Oryctolagus cuniculus: one gene and its partners. The protein of the gene in region 2 interacts with the protein of the main gene of each other region in a biochemical or structural test. Links are inferred from orthologs where the notes say so. Each region holds a gene or a part of one and is shown on either strand. Other genes may lie near its edges.

Region 1 (5,282 bases), on a different chromosome or scaffold from region 2:
TAATTGCGGCCTTTTCAGTTTGTGTTTTGAGGAAGGCCTGCCTGTGTTGTCAGAGCCGAGGAGCTGCAGGGAGTCCCTGGATCGTGGGCCCTGCCTGCCTGCTGGAGAGCAGGGCTGTGATCCGGTGGCTCACCTCTCCCACCTGTCCCCCTTAGGAGTAAAACGGCAGCGTTCACTGACGCCAGGATCAGGACCATGAATGAGGTTATAACTGGCATAAGGATAATAAAAATGTATGCCTGGGAGAAGTCGTTTGCGGAGCTCATCGCCAGTCTGAGAAGGTAGGTCTGTGCTGAGCGGGCGGTGTTTGTGCGCTGTGCCTCTTACCATTTGGTCCTGAATTGGTTTGAGAAATCTCGCTATGATTTCACATGGGGGTGAACTTGAACGCTGTGCATGCCCACCTCCTGCATGTGGCAGTAGGTTTAGTAGAATGGCCTAGGACACCATTTTAACCTGGGCTTCCCTTTTCGTTTTCCTCTCCTCTCCTCTCCTCTCCTCTCCTCTCCTCTCCTCTCCTCTCCTCTCCTCTCCTCTCCTCTCCTCTCCTCTCCTCTCCCCTCCCCTCCCCTCCCCTCCCCTCCCCTCCCCTCCCCTCCCCTCCCCTCCCCTCTCCTCTCCTCTCCTCTCCTTTTTAAAGATTTATTTATTTATTTGAAAGTGAGAGTTACACAGAGAGGAGAGGCAGAGAGAGAGAGAGAGAGACAGGCAGGTCTTCCATCCAGTGGTTCATTCCCCAATTGGACACAATGACCAGAGCTATGCCAATCCCAGGCCAGGAGCCAGGAGCTTCTTCCAGGTTCCCCATGTGGATGCAGGGGCCCAAGGACCTTGGCCATCTTCTACTGCTTTCCCAGACCATAGCAGAGAGCTGGATCAGAAGAGGAGCAGCCAGGTCTAGAACTGGTGCCCATATGGGATGCCTGCGCTTCAGGCCAGGGCATTAACCCACTGCGCTATAGCGCTGGCCCCTGCGCTTCCCTTTTCTTAAGGCAAAAAATGTACGTGAATCTGACTAATAGTGAAAATGAAATTCCAAGTGTTTCTGAATAAGCAGTGGTTCTGTTAATACTGAGGGTATGACCTTTGAAATGAAGCTGTAATTGATGTTGATGGGGAGATTACAGAGATGGGGTGAGCCTGTATTGAGCCAAACAGCCATGGAATCAGTATTCCTCTTTGTTATTCCCTATCTTTGGAAAAATTTTTTTGTCTTTTGATTGAAATATTTGATTACCTTTCACACCTCAACACATGATACCTGGCACCCTCATCTTTGCACCTTTACAGGCCCCTCCCTATGTTTGGGAACCCTGTTGCCTTCATTCTTCTCTGGCTCTGCCAAGCACGTGGCCCTCTGCACCACGTGGAGTTACCCACTGCCTTTGCCTGCTCCCAAAGGCGCCATGCTTGCTGCACCTTCTGTCTAGGGTCTTGGGGGTCTCACGATTCTCAGGTTGCTTTTCTCTCCTCTCATGAGTTCACGAAGCACCTGGAGGGGACAGGCTGTGTCTCCCTCATCTTTCTGGCACCACAGAGGCACTTGGCACAAGGCTTAAGTTTACAAATGCTTGTTGAGTGAGTCATTCGAACGCTTGTTCAAGCCCAGTCTGATAGACTCAAAATGTAATCCCATGGCATTGCACATTTCAACCACTGCGCATAAAAATATTGGATAAGCACTGAATTTTTCACCGTGTGAGAAGCAGTTTGTCTTAATCTGTGGCCCCCACCCTAGAACAGAGCCACATGCAAAAGGCGCTTGGGGTCGTGAGCTTGACGTGGACATTTCCTGCAAAGCTCCTGTCCGTTGTCCGTTGCAGGAAGGAAATTTCCAAGATCCTGAGCAGTTCCTACCTCAGAGGGATGAATTTGGCCTCATTTTTCGTTGCAAGCAAAATCATCGTGTTCGTGACCTTCACAGTCTATGTGCTCCTGGGCAACGTCATCACAGCCAGCCGTGTGTTTGTGGCCGTGACGCTGTACGGCGCCGTGCGGCTGACCGTCACCCTCTTCTTCCCGGCAGCGATCGAGAGAGTGTCAGAGTCGATTGTCAGCATCCGGAGAATCAAGGTTTGGTAGAGAATGATGGTGAAGGGTGTGGGTGGCTCCTTATTCCTATTGCTTTGGGTTCTTGGGTCCCAGTTAAGGGGAGCTGAACTCTATCAGCCCCAAAGCATGCAGTTATTCCAGACGTAGGAATGACTTCCCTACTTCTCATAGGGAGGGTGGGCAGGAAACAGCACACACTGTGATCACATGTGGACAGCAATGTGACGGTGACCGGGGGGTTGTCTGTGTCAGTGATAATGGGGGTGTGATGAAATGCTAGGAACAGGGAAGCAAACAGATTCCGTCTCCTGTGCCAGCTCCAATGAGTAGGTAGGAGGAGTGGGTCCCTCTTTGTACTGGGAAGAGAAGAGCTTGCCAAATAGCCCTGCTGCTTGGGGAGGCAGAGTGGCCTGAACCTCACCTAATGACCCTTGTTGAAAAGCAGGTGCTTGGTGCTGGCATTGTGGTGCAGCCGGTTGAACCACCACTTAGGATGCCTACATCCCATATCAGTGCCCTTCCAAGTCCCAGGTACTTCCGGTCTGGCTTCCTTTTAGTGCTCTTTGGGCGGCAGCAGGTGACAGATGGCTCAGGTGCTTGGGCAGACCAAGATGGGAGACCAAAACAGAGTTCTGAGCTCCTGGCTCCAGCCTGGCTCAACCCTGAGTGTTACAGGCATTTGGGGAGTGCTCCAGTCAATGAAAGATGTGTCTTTCTCTCTCTCTGCCTGAAAATTAATTAAACGTTTTAAAATCGGGTCTTTCCTCCACAGTTGCTTTACCTGTTGATTTCTGGCTATGCCTTTGGATCCCTGCCTGTTCTTTCCTGTTCTCTTTTTTCCTTTCTCTTACTGTGGTTGAACCAGTATTTTACAAGCCTTTTCACTTTTGCTAAGCAGCTGTCCCTAAATTGCTAGGGGCAAATAACTTACATAACTAAGATAAAGGGCCTGGCTCATAATAGGTGCTCACGTATTGGTACTGCTGAATGGGTCTAAAGTGAGAATGAATCGGTTCCTTGCGAGGGCCTTGCTTGTCTGAGCTTTAAACAGATCTACTTGTTTTTGCTCAGCCATGATCCAAGCCCAGCAAAGATCTCCTGTGAACACAGTGCCCCATCATAAACAAAGATCAGTTTTTAACACAAGGTCATAAAAAAAATAGTATGCATGAAACTGATGAGTCACATAGGGTCAGTTCTGGTGCCCTGGAGTATTATTTCTTTTCTTTCTTTCAAGGTTTATTTATTTATTTGAAAGGCAGAGTCACATAGAGAGAGAGAGAAAAGGAAAGACAGATAGAGAGATCTTCTATTCACTGGTTCACTCCCCAAATGGTCACAAAGGCTGGGGTTGGCCAGGCTGAAGCCAGGAACCAGGAGCTTCTTCTGTGTCTACCATGAAGGTTCAGGGACCCAAGCACTTGAGCCATCTTCAGCCACTGTCCTAGGCACATTAGCCTAGGAGCTGGATCGGAAGTTGTCGCTCCCCCTCTTCGTGGAGGAACGACACAGGACCCTGCGCTGTTCTTTTGTCTGCTCGGCCCTCCCTGGGTTTGCTGCTGGTTCTTCCCGGGTTGGCTACTGTCCCTCCACCTCCGTGGAAGGGCGGTTCCCCCTGGCCACATTCCCCACTTCCGCAGGGGAGCAGCACACCGCCGGCCGGCTCTCTCGGGGGCTGCACAGGTGTTCCTTCAGATGTTCCCCTTAGATGTTCCCCTTAGATGTTCCTGGTGCATGCCGTCTCTCTCCTCCTTTATAGTCCTCCTCTGCCAATCCCAACTCTGCTGCCCACACGCCGAGTACGCTGCTCTCCTCCAATCAGGAGCAAGTCCTACAGTTTATTGGCTGAACTGGAGGCAGCTGTGTAGAAGCTGTTTTCTTCTCTCCCAGCGCCATATTGTGGGAGAGCAGATGCATAGAATAAGTCTTAATTCCAGTAACTCAGTCTAGTCCGAGTTGCTCCCCACAGGAAGTCGTGCAGCCAGGACTCAAGCTGGTGCCCGTATAGGTTAGGCACCATTCTTTAACCTGTTACACCACAGTGCCAGCCCCTGAAGTTATTTTTTGTGACCGTGGCTTAACCCAGCATGGTTAAGGCGTGGTCCATGCATTGGAATAGCTTTTTTTTTTTTTTTAAAGAAAACATTGAGGAAAATATTTTGACGATAGTGTCATTTTAAATGCACACTGTGCCTCTCCTAGAGGGTGGCTTGCTGTGTGTTGTGCTGTTGTAATTCTGTTACTACTGTTGTCACTATTATGCTGCTCACTTTCATTGCTGGTGTGTGTGTGTGTGTGTGCGTGCGTGTCCATGTGTGTGTGTGCTCATCAGTGCACAAACCTCACAAAGTTCACAGAACACAGAATTAAAAATTTACTTCGGTGCAGAAAATGTTTGATATCCAGGCATAATTTTATTCATAACATGCATTTCCATGAACTTTTTGAACATCCCATATTCACTGATTGCAGATCCTTTTTTTGGTACTGAAGTAATCTTATCTTTTAATTCTATTTTCCTTGAGTTTTTGGAAGTACCCTTGTACTGGGGTCAGGGGTCCTTGCAAACCTTTACTTTTGTTGTTGTTTCATTCTGATGATAATCTAAGGCTTACTGGTGCACTAATGTCCCCTCTGCAGGTTCCCTTAATAGGTTAAATAGTGTCCCTTGTCACATAGCTTGTACAAGATCGAGTGAGGACTCTGCCCTGAGCCCTGGTTTCCTAACCTACGTTGCCTTCTTAGTACCTTCTAACATGTGGAATAATTGTTGTCATCATCTAATCTGATTCCCCAAACCTCCATAGGTTCCTTTTTTCCTGCAAACTCAAATTTTAACACTCTAGGTTTTGCTGTACCCCACATGCACCCCAATCCGGGGTCTTTGGCTCCTACCTTTGGCCCTGCCAGGTGCCTTCTCTTCTGTCCCGGGTTTAAGCACACCCTGCTGAGCGCTCTGCTCCTCTCCCATGGCCTTTGCTGTGCTTTTATTCTGCTGCACAGGCAGGTGCCACCTAGCCCAGCCTCTCTGGACATGCAGTGGGCACTCAGTACTGGGCTGATGGAAGCCACAGTCCCAGGAGTAGGCAGGGACCCAGGGTGGCCCAGCCTGTACCAGAAGCCAGAGAAATGCCAAGTGGAGGAGCAGATTTGAGTTGGGCATTCCTGGAACACTGCGTTTTGGAGAATCTTGGCTGACCCACGGGAGGGGAGCAAGGCCTTGTCTAGAG
Region 2 (5,282 bases):
AGGAATTATTACTTACAATATCATCTTTTTTCTTTCTCCTAGGTGGTGGATCTGGTGAGAAAGAGTGGCAATGCAGTGACTTTACTAGTTCTGGATGGGAATTCCTATGAGAAAGCTGTGAAAAAACAGGTAGATTTGAAAGAGTTGGGTCAGAGTCGGCAGGAGGCGGATTTGCGTGACGAGAACGTGGCCCCTGTGATGAATGGAGGAGTGGAGACCTGGACGCAGCCGCGACTCTGCTACCTGGAGAAGCAGGGGAACAGCTACGGCTTCTCCCTGAAAACCGTCCAAGGTGAGCCCTGGGAGGGGGGGGGGGGAGCGGTGCACGGCCTTCCAGCAGGGACACGTTGCTCTGGTTAGTGACTAATTTTCAGCTGCTGTAAAGCCTCGTAGGACCGTCATGTCTCTCCCTTTCTACCTGCCCCCTCTTACCTGTACAATTGCACAGGGGATGGGTGGGGTTGGGGAGAGGGACACTGGGCACGCCTCTCTCCTAGTGTCCTTTAGGCTGACCCTTCGAGGCCAGAGGTCTTTGTCATTCTTTTCTTGCTTCCTTAGGGTGAAGGTGCAGGGGACGATGGGAGATGAGAAGCAAGGGGTTCTTCATAACAGAACTTTTGAGTGGGAACCGTACTTTTCATCTCTGAGTGTCCGGATGGTCACTCACTCATTCAACAAATTCGTGAGCATCCATTGATGTATGTGATGCTGTTGTAAGTTGCTAAGGAGATGGCAAAAAAATCTGCACCCTTTGGTGACATTTAGAGTCCTCAGTGTGGCCCCGTCCCGCCTGCCCTGAGGTGTACCCCGACCTCTAGCTGAGAGCTGTGTCGTGCTGGGAGAGCCTGGCTGTCCAGATGTATTTTAGGGCCTATGTCTGCAACTTCAGAAGCGCAGACAGACCTGGGACGTGGGCTGCAGGCAGAGGAGCCGCATTGGCTGATGGGTTCCATCTTCTACAGTGCCTGTGTCCGCCTTCCTTGTAGCACTGGAGAGGCACTAGTGACTTACCGTAATTCACTAAGGGATAAAGGAGGAAAGCAGCAGGAAATTTTTGAATTGTTTGAAAGAGATGTAAACTAGCTGGGAGGCGTTTCTCTAGTCCATTGGTCATTAAACACAGTGATGTAGGTGGCCAAGGGAAGCCTGGCATTTCGTAGAAGTCCACGATCGATAGAATGGTGAAAAAGAAGCATTTGTGTTCTCATCTGGCTCTGGTGCGAAGGTGTAGTTTAGCCTGGCTTTATGAAGAAAACGTTTTCTTCATGACAATTGTATAATGTAGCCAAAGAAATTTAAAGGTTAAGGAAGCAGACTTCAAGTTCTTTCAAGTAAAAATAAATCAAAAAAAAAAAAAAAAGTTACAGAGAGAGGAGAGAGAGAGAGAGAGGTCTTTCATCCGATGGTTCACTCCCCAGTTGGCTGCAATGGCTGGAGCTGTGCCAATCCGAAGCCAGGAACCAGGAGCTTCTTCCAGGTCTCCCATATGGGTGCAAGGGCCCAAGGACTTTGGGCCATCTACCACTTTCCCAGGCCACAGCAGAGAGCTGGACAGAAAGTGGAGCAGCGAGGTCTCGAACCGGCACCCATATGGGATGCTGGCGCTTCAGGCCAGGACGTTAACCTGCTGTGCCACAGCGCTGGCCCCTCAAGTTATTATTTCTTACAACTGATTTGTGTTATGAGGCTACTTCTCGTCTAGCTGAAATAGGAGCATCTTGGAAGAACTGGCAAGCACTTCTAGCACTCAAATCGCACCACCTAAATGCATGCTTTTCTCCCCTTCCATCCCTCTGTCCTTGCATTAGCGAGTTTTATCGACTCCGCTGGTATGTGGTCAGTGATGGCGCCAAAGATGAGGGAATGGAGCCTTTATAAGTCTACAAAGGCAAAGAATGACAGCAGGATCCAGCATGGGCGTGGTTTGGTGCTTTCAGGTTCAAGAGGCCAATGATATCAGGGATTCCTTCTTTGCATCTAGCTGGGCTCAGAAATTCTGTTCTGATCAACGGATACCCATGGGTAATGGCTGTGTCAAGCTTTGCCCTAGGAGCTACAGCTGTGACTCTAGATCACAAGCCAAGGGCTGTTTGTTAGCTCTAAGATGAGAAGTTCTGTTTTCACATTATTGGGACTTCGAGTTTTCTCTGCAATGGAATTCATCCTCTTCTCCTCCAGGTAAAAAGGGCGTGTACATGACTGATATCATCCCTCAAAGCGTGGCTATGAAGGCTGGCATCCTGGCTGATGACCACTTGATTGAAGTGAACGGAGAGAATGTAGAAGATGCCAGTCACGAGGAGGTGGTTGAAAAGGTGGGCCCCACGGGGGACTTCTCTTACCTTCCTTTGATTCTACCCTCACTGGAAGGGATGGAAAGACAGGGTTGGTAGGGGCCAGCTAAACTTGTGGGCCAGTGGGGTTGCCCTACTGTGTGAATATACTCACTAGTGTCGTAGCCATGTTAATATGGTGTTTTGAAATAAACCCTTTGCTAGTTTCACATCAAGAGGCCTATCTTTATCTTGTGGATCTTACTGAGGCAGTAGTCCCACTTTATCTGTAGTTTTGCTTTCCCTCATTTCAGTTACCTGTGGTCGATTGTGGTCTGAAAACATTGAATGGAAAATTCCAGAATGTTTTAAATAACTTTTATATAATTGCCTACTTGTAATATGTGTTTATCTCGTACTATGTATAACTTATGAATTAAACTTTATCACCACAGGTATGTATGGATGTATATGAAGAAAACTATATATATAGGTTTCTGTACTATTGGGATTTCAGGCATCTGTGGGATACTTTGGGGAACACATTCACCTCTGATAATGGGGAGTAGCTGTATTCACCATGCTGGTTACCTTCTAGTTCCTAGTAAAACATTTTAGTATCATCTCAACACTGAATTTATTAATAAAATCAGAGGCCATTAGAACAACTATAACAATGTACTATAATAAAATGTTTTGGGCTTTGGGACCATTAAGTAAAAGAAGGGTTCCTTGAACACAAGTACTTTGATGCTATGAGAACTGATTTAATAAATGAGGTGGCTACCAAGTGGTGGTTGAGTGGGTAGTCCCACAGCGTGGGTTTGCAGGACAAAGGGATGATTCATGTCCCAGGCAGGATGGAGTGGGATGGCATAAGATTTCATTATGTTATGCAGAATGCATGTCACTTAAAACTTATGCATTGAGGTGGGTGTTGGACACTGTGGTTAGTTAAGTCTCTGCTTGCGAAGTCCACGTCCTATATTGGGAGACCTGGATTTGAATCCCAGTTCTGCTTCTGATTCCAGCCTCCCGTAAATGTATACCCTGGGAGGCAGCAGATGGTGGGTCAAGTAGCTGGGTCCCTGCCACCCACGCGGAAGACCTGGATTGAGTCCCGACTCCTGGCTTTAGCCTGGGCCAGCCCTGGATGTTGCGGGCATTTGGAGAGGGTGTGAAGTGGTTGATGGAAGCTCTCGCTCTGCCTCCCTTTCAAATTAAATGAAAAGTTAAAAGAGAGGATAGTGCTTACTAAAACAACAACAACAACAACAAAAAACAAACAAACCCTTATGAGTAGTTTATTTCTGGAATTTCAATACTTAGCATTTTCAGGCCATGGTTGATCATGGGTCGTGAAACCACAGACAAGGAGGGGCTGCCACGTGGAGGGGCTACCACGTGGAGCTACAGATGGAAGATGCTGGACAGGCCTCACTCCAAATCGAATGTCCCAGCCTGGTCCCATGACACGTGGAAAACACTTGGTTTTGTGGGGGGTATCATATGGAGCCTTAAAAATGAATCAACCTCTTCTCTTGGTAGAATGATCTTTCTTTTCCCAAACTCCTGTTCCAGGCTTTGTTTATGCACCTTTCTGGGTTTTCTGGTTTGCCAGGTTTCAGGCAGCATCTGTGTGGGTGAGGGCACACTCAACAAAGGGAGAAACAACTATAGGAGTAGAGGTAGATACAAACCAGCTAAAGGGTAGGAAATAGTCTTTTTTTAAAATTTTTTTTAAGTGATTTATTTATTTGAAAGGTAGTTAGGCAGAGGCACAGAGACAGTTCTTCCATCTACTGGTTCACTCCCCGATTGGCAGCGATGGGCGGAGCTGCGCCAATCTGAAGCCAGGAGCTTCTTCTGGGTCTCCCGTGCGGGTGCAGCAGCCCAAGGACTTGGGTCATCTTCTACTGCTTTCCCAGGCCAGAGCAGAGAGCTGGATCAGAAGCAGCCGAGACTAGAACTGGTGCCCATACGAGATGCGGGCACTTCAGGCAGCGGCTTTACCCACTACGCCACAGCGCCAGCCCCAAGAAATAGTCTTGAACAGCTTAAATGCAAGACTTGATTTCATGTTTCTGTTGAGTGCGTCTCCATGGCAATTCTCTTGTTCCCCAGCATCATCCTTGGGGGCTAATGTTGTCCCTCGTCTGTGTGTGTGGTTGCAGGTGAAGAAGTCGGGAAACCGTATCATGTTCCTTCTGGTAGACAAAGAAACTGAGAAACGGCACAGCGAGCAGAAGATAGAGTTCAGGAGAGAAGCGGCCAGTTTGAAGCTGCTGCCCCACCAGCCCCGCATTGTGGAGATGAAGAAGGGAAGCAGTGGCTATGGTTTCTATCTGAAGGCAGGCCCAGAACAGAGAGGTAAGGCGCTAGAAGAGGAGCCCCAAACTTGGCAGTGTAACCAACTAGTTCTTCATCCCAACCTGACCGCAGCGATCTGCTAGGCCCCCAGCTCCCTTCCAGATACATGACGGGGCCTAGCAAGAAACTAGGAAGCACAGCTGGCTTGGTTTCTCCATCACATAGTGGGGCCTGACTTTGGGCCTCTCAAAATGTCCATAGGTGGGTGCTAAGGCAGAATTTGGGAAATGGGGGTAAGCGTGCTGGTAAATTGACTTTCTGGGGGAAAGTCCTGATGTGTGATGCTTATTGACTTTCGTGTTGTAAATACTCCCCTCTCGCTGCGTCTGATTTCAAGCTACCAACATGCTGTCACTGAACACAGAATTGAGGTGTTGCCCGATACTGGCTCCTGTGAGCTGGTGTGAGTGTGCTAGCCCCAGCACGCCCCTGGATCTGCGACAGAAGTGCGGGTCAGGGTCTGGGACTCAAACATGGCCGGAAAGTAGTCTTTCTGCTTCCTTGTAACTAAAAACAAAAGAACCAAGACCCTTTCTGGGAAGGCAAATATGTAATAGACTGCAGGTCAGACCATATGAGCTGGTATTCAGCTAGAAGTTTTTTTCTATCTATGCTTTATATCAATTCATCAGATATTAA
Region 3 (5,282 bases), on a different chromosome or scaffold from region 2:
ATAAACCAGTGGATGGAAGATCTCTCTCTCTCTCTCTGCATTTCAAATAAATACATTTTCCAAAAAAAGAGTGGCGAGCTGTCGGCATTCCGAGGCAGGCCCTCCCTGGGGCACTGAGAGCTCTGTGGGGTGGTGAGGGTCAAGGTCCCCCCTGGAGCCTCACCATCCAGCGGAGCCACAGGCTGGTCTCACTGGCCGTGCGCAGCGTCACGTTGGCCGGGGCCATGTCAGGGGGCGCCTGGAGGGTCTGGATCTTTCTAGAAGGCTGGCTGGGTGGGCTTGTGCCCACGATGTTCACCTGGCGCATGCGGAAGCTGGGGGCGGGGGGAGAGGATGATGAGGGACGGTGAGGGCAGGACTTGGGGCCATGCCCCCCCCCCGGTCTGGGCAGCACCCCCACCCCGGCTGTGTCTGGTTACCTGTAGTAGGTGAAGGGGTTCAGGTCGGGCACCTCCATGGAGCGGGCGTCGGGCTCGTTGGCAAGCTGGTGGATCAGCAGCCACTCCTCTCCCTCTCCGATCACGCCCACCTGGAAAAGGGAGGGACCCTTGGACCTGAGCCCCAGCTCCGGGGAGACGCCAGCCCTTCCACAGGGGTCCGGGTTCAACTCCCAGGACTCCTGCAAAGCACCAAAGGGGTCCCCATCCTTCAGGGCCCTTGACCTTGACCTTGGCTCCAGTGAGACTCGGAGACCTCCTGTTTAGAACCGAATGGACGCTGGTTACACCTGCAGTCCCAGGTCCGACCCTAGACCCAGCCCATCTGAATCCTGGGGGTGGTGCCACGTGGCTGGGCTTGTCACGAGTTCCTCATAAACATTTGGGGTGTGGCTAAGGATCCCCGCTGGCACCCAAATCAGCCAACCATGCATCAGGACTGCGGGGGGTGGGATGCAGGTCAAAGGTGCAGGCAAAACTGAGAACCGGTGGCTTAGAGGGGCTGCGGCCAGCAGCCAGGTTCTAGGCCAGCTGCTCAGCACCTGGGCCAGGGAGGGATGAGGGAGGAGTGGGGAGCTCACAGGCTCAGGTGAGGTGCGGGTGTGGGCATCTGGGACATGTGGATGGTTCCCAGCTCACAATGGCCTGACTGAAGGATGTCGGATGAGGCTGTGAAATCGACATGCACTCGTATTTGCCACTTTTTTTGAATTTTAACATTTTTCCTGGCTCTTAATTCCTAATATGATACTTTGTTGAGATACCTGGCTGTAGGTTGATGTAAACAAGCATTCTGAGCGGGGTTAAGGTAGGCGGGGCTAAGCTGTCATGTCTGGCAGGTGTTTTAACTGTGTTTTCCACTTAAGATATTTTCAACTTACGATGGGTTTGTCAAGACATAAACTCCGTGTAGGCGGACACGCACCTGTATTAGGCCACTGAGGGTTGTGCGTGAAAATTCACGCAGACCGATACACACTACACGGTGGAGAGCTGGGGGCTGCCCGAGGCCAGGAGAGGGGGCACTGCCTGTCCCGTGGGGCCACCCTTCAGCAGGCCTTACCTGGGCCTCCACCAGCCAGCGGGAGATGGAGGTTTTCCCATCGTAGCCTGGCCTGAACTGCAAGGTCACAGAGCGGGGGCCGATGTTGGAAATGCCCAGATTGGTGGGGGCCCCTGGCAGCTCTGGAAAATAAGAGGATAAGGTGGGAGGTCAGGGGACAATGTGTCCCCACCTGGAGCAGGAGGTCAGGAGGAAGTGTCCCCTCCTGGAATAGGCATTGTGGGCACAGAGGGGACTTTTCCTAGACTTGTCCTTGGAGAAGCAAGGTCAAGGCCTCCCTCTTGTCCCCCCAACAAAATCTGTGTTCCTGCGCCTGACAGAGCACCTGTGCATACACCAGGAGCCCGAGAGATCTGGGGGCTCAAGGCACCCTGCAGGGCCAGGGACGGCTCCCAGGGCCAAGCAACAGGGGCCGCAGATGCAGGGGGCTTCCTTGGGGGCTGGTGGGGACCTGCTGGGACGCTCCTGACGAAGGCTGAGCCAGCCCAATGTGGCTCCGCAGAACCAAGCGGGATCAATCCTCCCTTCCAGAGGCCCGGCCCCCACGCCGCTCCCCAGCCTGGGGTTGGGGTGGGGTGGGGACGGGGGCAGCTGGAGTTTTCCCACCAGGAACCTGAGGCTCCTAAAGTCAAGTTTGGGTTGCCAGTTTGGGTTCCAGCTGCTCCACTTCTAATCCAGCTCGCTGCTAACGTGCCTGGGAAAGCAGTGGAAGATATCTCAATCTTGCCTGGGCCCCTGCACCCACACAGGAGAACAGAAAAAGCTGCTGGCTTTGGCATGGCCCAGCCCTAGCTGTTGTGTGGCCATTTGGGGGCGTAAACCAGTGCATAGAGGCTCTCTCTCTTTCTCTGTGTCTCTCCTTCTTTTTCTGTAACTCTGCCTTTCAAATAAGTCAATAAATTCCCCCCCCCCAAAAAAAAGAGAGAGAGAGATATAAAGAATTTTGGCTTATTCCCCAAATTCCTAGGGCTGGACCAGGATAAAGTCATGAGCCTGGGACTCAATCCTGGTCTCCCATGTGAGTGACAGGGACCCAAGTACTCGGGCCATCACCTGTTGCCTCCCAGGGGGAGCCTAAGGAGGAAGCCGGAATTGGAGGTGGAATATGGGAATTCCACGTGGCAGCTAACTGGTGCACCAAGCACCTGCTCCTGAACTTGAGTTTTATTCCATTTTCTACCACCTCTCTGAAGTCCCCTTGTGCCTATCAACGTCACTCTTTATGGCTGTGGTGCACGGGCCAGGTTCAGGCCCTCAAGGACAGGGAGGAGGGATGCTGGCCACATGGTCACCTAGCCCAACTCCCCGTGGACACGGGTGGGGAAATGGAGACAGGGTGACAGCCTCGTCTTGCTCGGGGGCACAGAGCTGGGCAGGTACAGTGCTGGGATCAGACCCCGGCTCCCTCTCTGTGTCTGGCCCAAGACTGCTCCTGCCACCTGCTGCCACCTCCCTGAGCGACCCATTTGGACTTCCGGTACCAGTGAGCATTGTTCCAGATACCACGGGAGGCTGTGGTGGACCGGGGTGGGGGAGGGAGGGGACGCTGAGATGCGATGGGGCTGGGGGAGGAAGCTGCAGTGAGCCCACCGAGTCTTCGCCCAGAGACCTGGAGTCGTGGGGAGGACCCGGGGCCAGCGAGGGCCCGAAGGGTAGAAAGCCAACATCCCTGACCACAAGGCCTCAGCCACAGGCTGCTGAGGGGCACAGCAGAGGCCAGCAGTCCTGTGCTGAGAGCGGCACCCACCTGGAGGCACCCCCGAGGAGATGGTGGAGGCGGACACCTGGCCCTGGCCCTTGGCAGTCATGGCAGCCACCTCGATGGTGTAGGTGGTGAGCGCGGTGAGGCCCGTGACGCGGTACTCCAGGGTCACGTTGGGCAGGTAGTGGGTCACGCGGGTGTTGGTTCGGTTGTATTCCTCCCAGGAGATCCGGTACCCTGGGGAGAACACCCCAGCAGTGGAGTGAGCTTGGCTGGGACCATGAGTTAGCCTTGACCCTCGCCCTACTTCTCACTTTTTCACTTGGTCAACAGAGTCACAAAGGCCGGGGGAGGTGTGGGGGGGTCACTGCTGAAGCCGGGGCCACAGGCGTCACCTCCATGGGACACCGACTTGGTGTGGGGAGTGCAGGGGAGAGCCAGGCACCCTGGCCGGAGACCATGGGATGTGGCACAGAGCAGAGGGGCTGCAGGCCTCCCCAGTGCCGTGTGCTAGAACGAGGGGGCTGGCCGGGGGGTTGCATGGCACTAAATGAAGACAGGGGGATGGGCCAGCTGACGCACCTGTCCCCGTCCCACCCTGGTGCAGGGACACCGCGACACCTACCTGTGAGGATGCCATTCTTCTCTCCTGGCTCCTGCCAGCTGACCTTTAGCGAGGTGTCCAGGATGTCACTGAAGCTCAGGTGTCCCACAGGGCCGGGCACTGTACCCCAAAAGGACCCCCCACCCCACCCGATGCCAGTTAAAGCCTCAGAGAAAGAGAGAGAGAGACCACCGTCTGCAAGGCAGCCCACGGCCACCCAGGGATGCCCGGGCCCAGGAGCCAAGACCAGGGCCGCCTCTGCCTGCAGCGCCGGCCAGCCGGCCGTGGGTGGGGGCTGGGCGATGCCTACCATCCTCGTGGGTGCGCACCAGCTGGGGGGTGCTGCGGGGCCCGTCTCCGGGGGTGGTGAAACACAGCACGGAGGTGAAGTAGTCAGTGAACTTCTTCAGGCCGGACACGAAGCCCATGTGGATGCTGTCTTGAAAGTTGGGCCGGACGGTCACCATGGTAACCTCCTCTTCCTGCTCCGGCTCCCAGGCGATCAGCTGGGGGAGAAGCCAGTGAGAATGTTCCAGAAGAGGCCAAGCTGTTTCCTACAGGCTCCTCCCAGAGAAGGGAGAGGCAGGGCAGGCGACACACAGTCCCTCCTGGTGACCCTTCCATGTAAGAACGGTGCTGGGTGCATCCCATGAGCCAGCGCTTACCAAACTCTTCTCACAGAGACCCGGGGAGGGAGGCATTTTAGTAGGACCAGCTACAAAGTTGCAGGTCCATGCAAACTGGAAATAGAAGGCCTTTCTCTTTGTTCAACAGCTGTTCAGAATGTCAAGGGGTGAGCCTCTGACCCCGTGGTTAGGAGGCCCACGTCCCACTTGGGGTCAAGTGCCAGCTCTGCCTCCCGACCCCAGCATCCCGATAACATGCACCCTGGGAGGCAGCAGTGATGGCTCATGGGAGATCTGGACCGAGATCCCGGCTCCTGGCTTCAACCCCGGCCAGGGGGCTGGTGCAGGCATTCGGGGAAGGAACCAGCTGATGCGGAGTTCTCTCTCTGTCTCTCAAAGTTAAAATAAAAAATAAAACCAAGATACTAGCAGTGGAGCGTCTAACCAGGCTCAGGGCCCTGCCAAGTACAGGGTCCTAGACGACGCCACAGGCTGTACGCTCATTAGGCTGGCCCTGTATCTCAGGGAGGAGTTAACGGAGGCTTAGAGAGGCTGAGTGATTACTCCACGCCACACAGCTAAGGGGAAGACGAGGTTCTCAGAGTTGGGCCCTGAGGCGTGCACACCTGTCTCTGTACCGGCTGGGTGGCCTCGCCTGGAGTTCTCCCAGGGTCACTTCCTATGGGGCCAGGAAGTTGAGCAGGTGGGTAACTTGTATCCCCTTACACTCATTGCCAGAGTTAGGATTCTGATCCTAAAATACCACCTAGTGGGTGGGCGAGGGCAAGAACCCCCCACCCGGAAATTCGTCCCCTCCTCTCTCACCTCGCACACTGCTCCCACCTGGGGG

What was found. The genes of interacting proteins can lie anywhere in the genome.
Region 1: the proteins of PDZK1 (region 2) and ABCC4 form a complex in vitro, tested with the Homo sapiens proteins (2 studies listed by BioGRID and IntAct, with this or other methods). The link is inferred for Oryctolagus cuniculus from reciprocal best matches to the Homo sapiens genes PDZK1 and ABCC4.
Region 3: the proteins of PDZK1 (region 2) and SDK2 interact in a test that uses a peptide from one of them, tested with the Homo sapiens proteins (2 studies listed by IntAct, with this or other methods). The link is inferred for Oryctolagus cuniculus from reciprocal best matches to the Homo sapiens genes PDZK1 and SDK2.

The regions. Positions count from the first base shown.
Region 1 is NC_091440.1:17,214,586-17,219,867, forward strand, and holds part of ABCC4 (ATP-binding cassette sub-family C member 4), read left to right. Parts: intron 1-155; coding exon 156-281; intron 282-1,823; coding exon 1,824-2,073; intron 2,074-5,282. UniProt on the Homo sapiens protein: ATP-dependent transporter of the ATP-binding cassette (ABC) family that actively extrudes physiological compounds and xenobiotics from cells.
Region 2 is NC_091438.1:49,215,392-49,220,673, forward strand, and holds part of PDZK1 (Na(+)/H(+) exchange regulatory cofactor NHE-RF3), read left to right. Parts: intron 1-42; coding exon 43-292; intron 293-2,178; coding exon 2,179-2,315; intron 2,316-4,447; coding exon 4,448-4,643; intron 4,644-5,282. UniProt on the Homo sapiens protein: A scaffold protein that connects plasma membrane proteins and regulatory components, regulating their surface expression in epithelial cells apical domains.
Region 3 is NC_091448.1:6,644,042-6,649,323, reverse strand, and holds part of SDK2 (protein sidekick-2), read right to left. Parts: intron 4,313-5,282; coding exon 4,117-4,312; intron 3,927-4,116; coding exon 3,828-3,926; intron 3,440-3,827; coding exon 3,248-3,439; intron 1,623-3,247; coding exon 1,501-1,622; intron 530-1,500; coding exon 420-529; intron 315-419; coding exon 164-314; intron 1-163.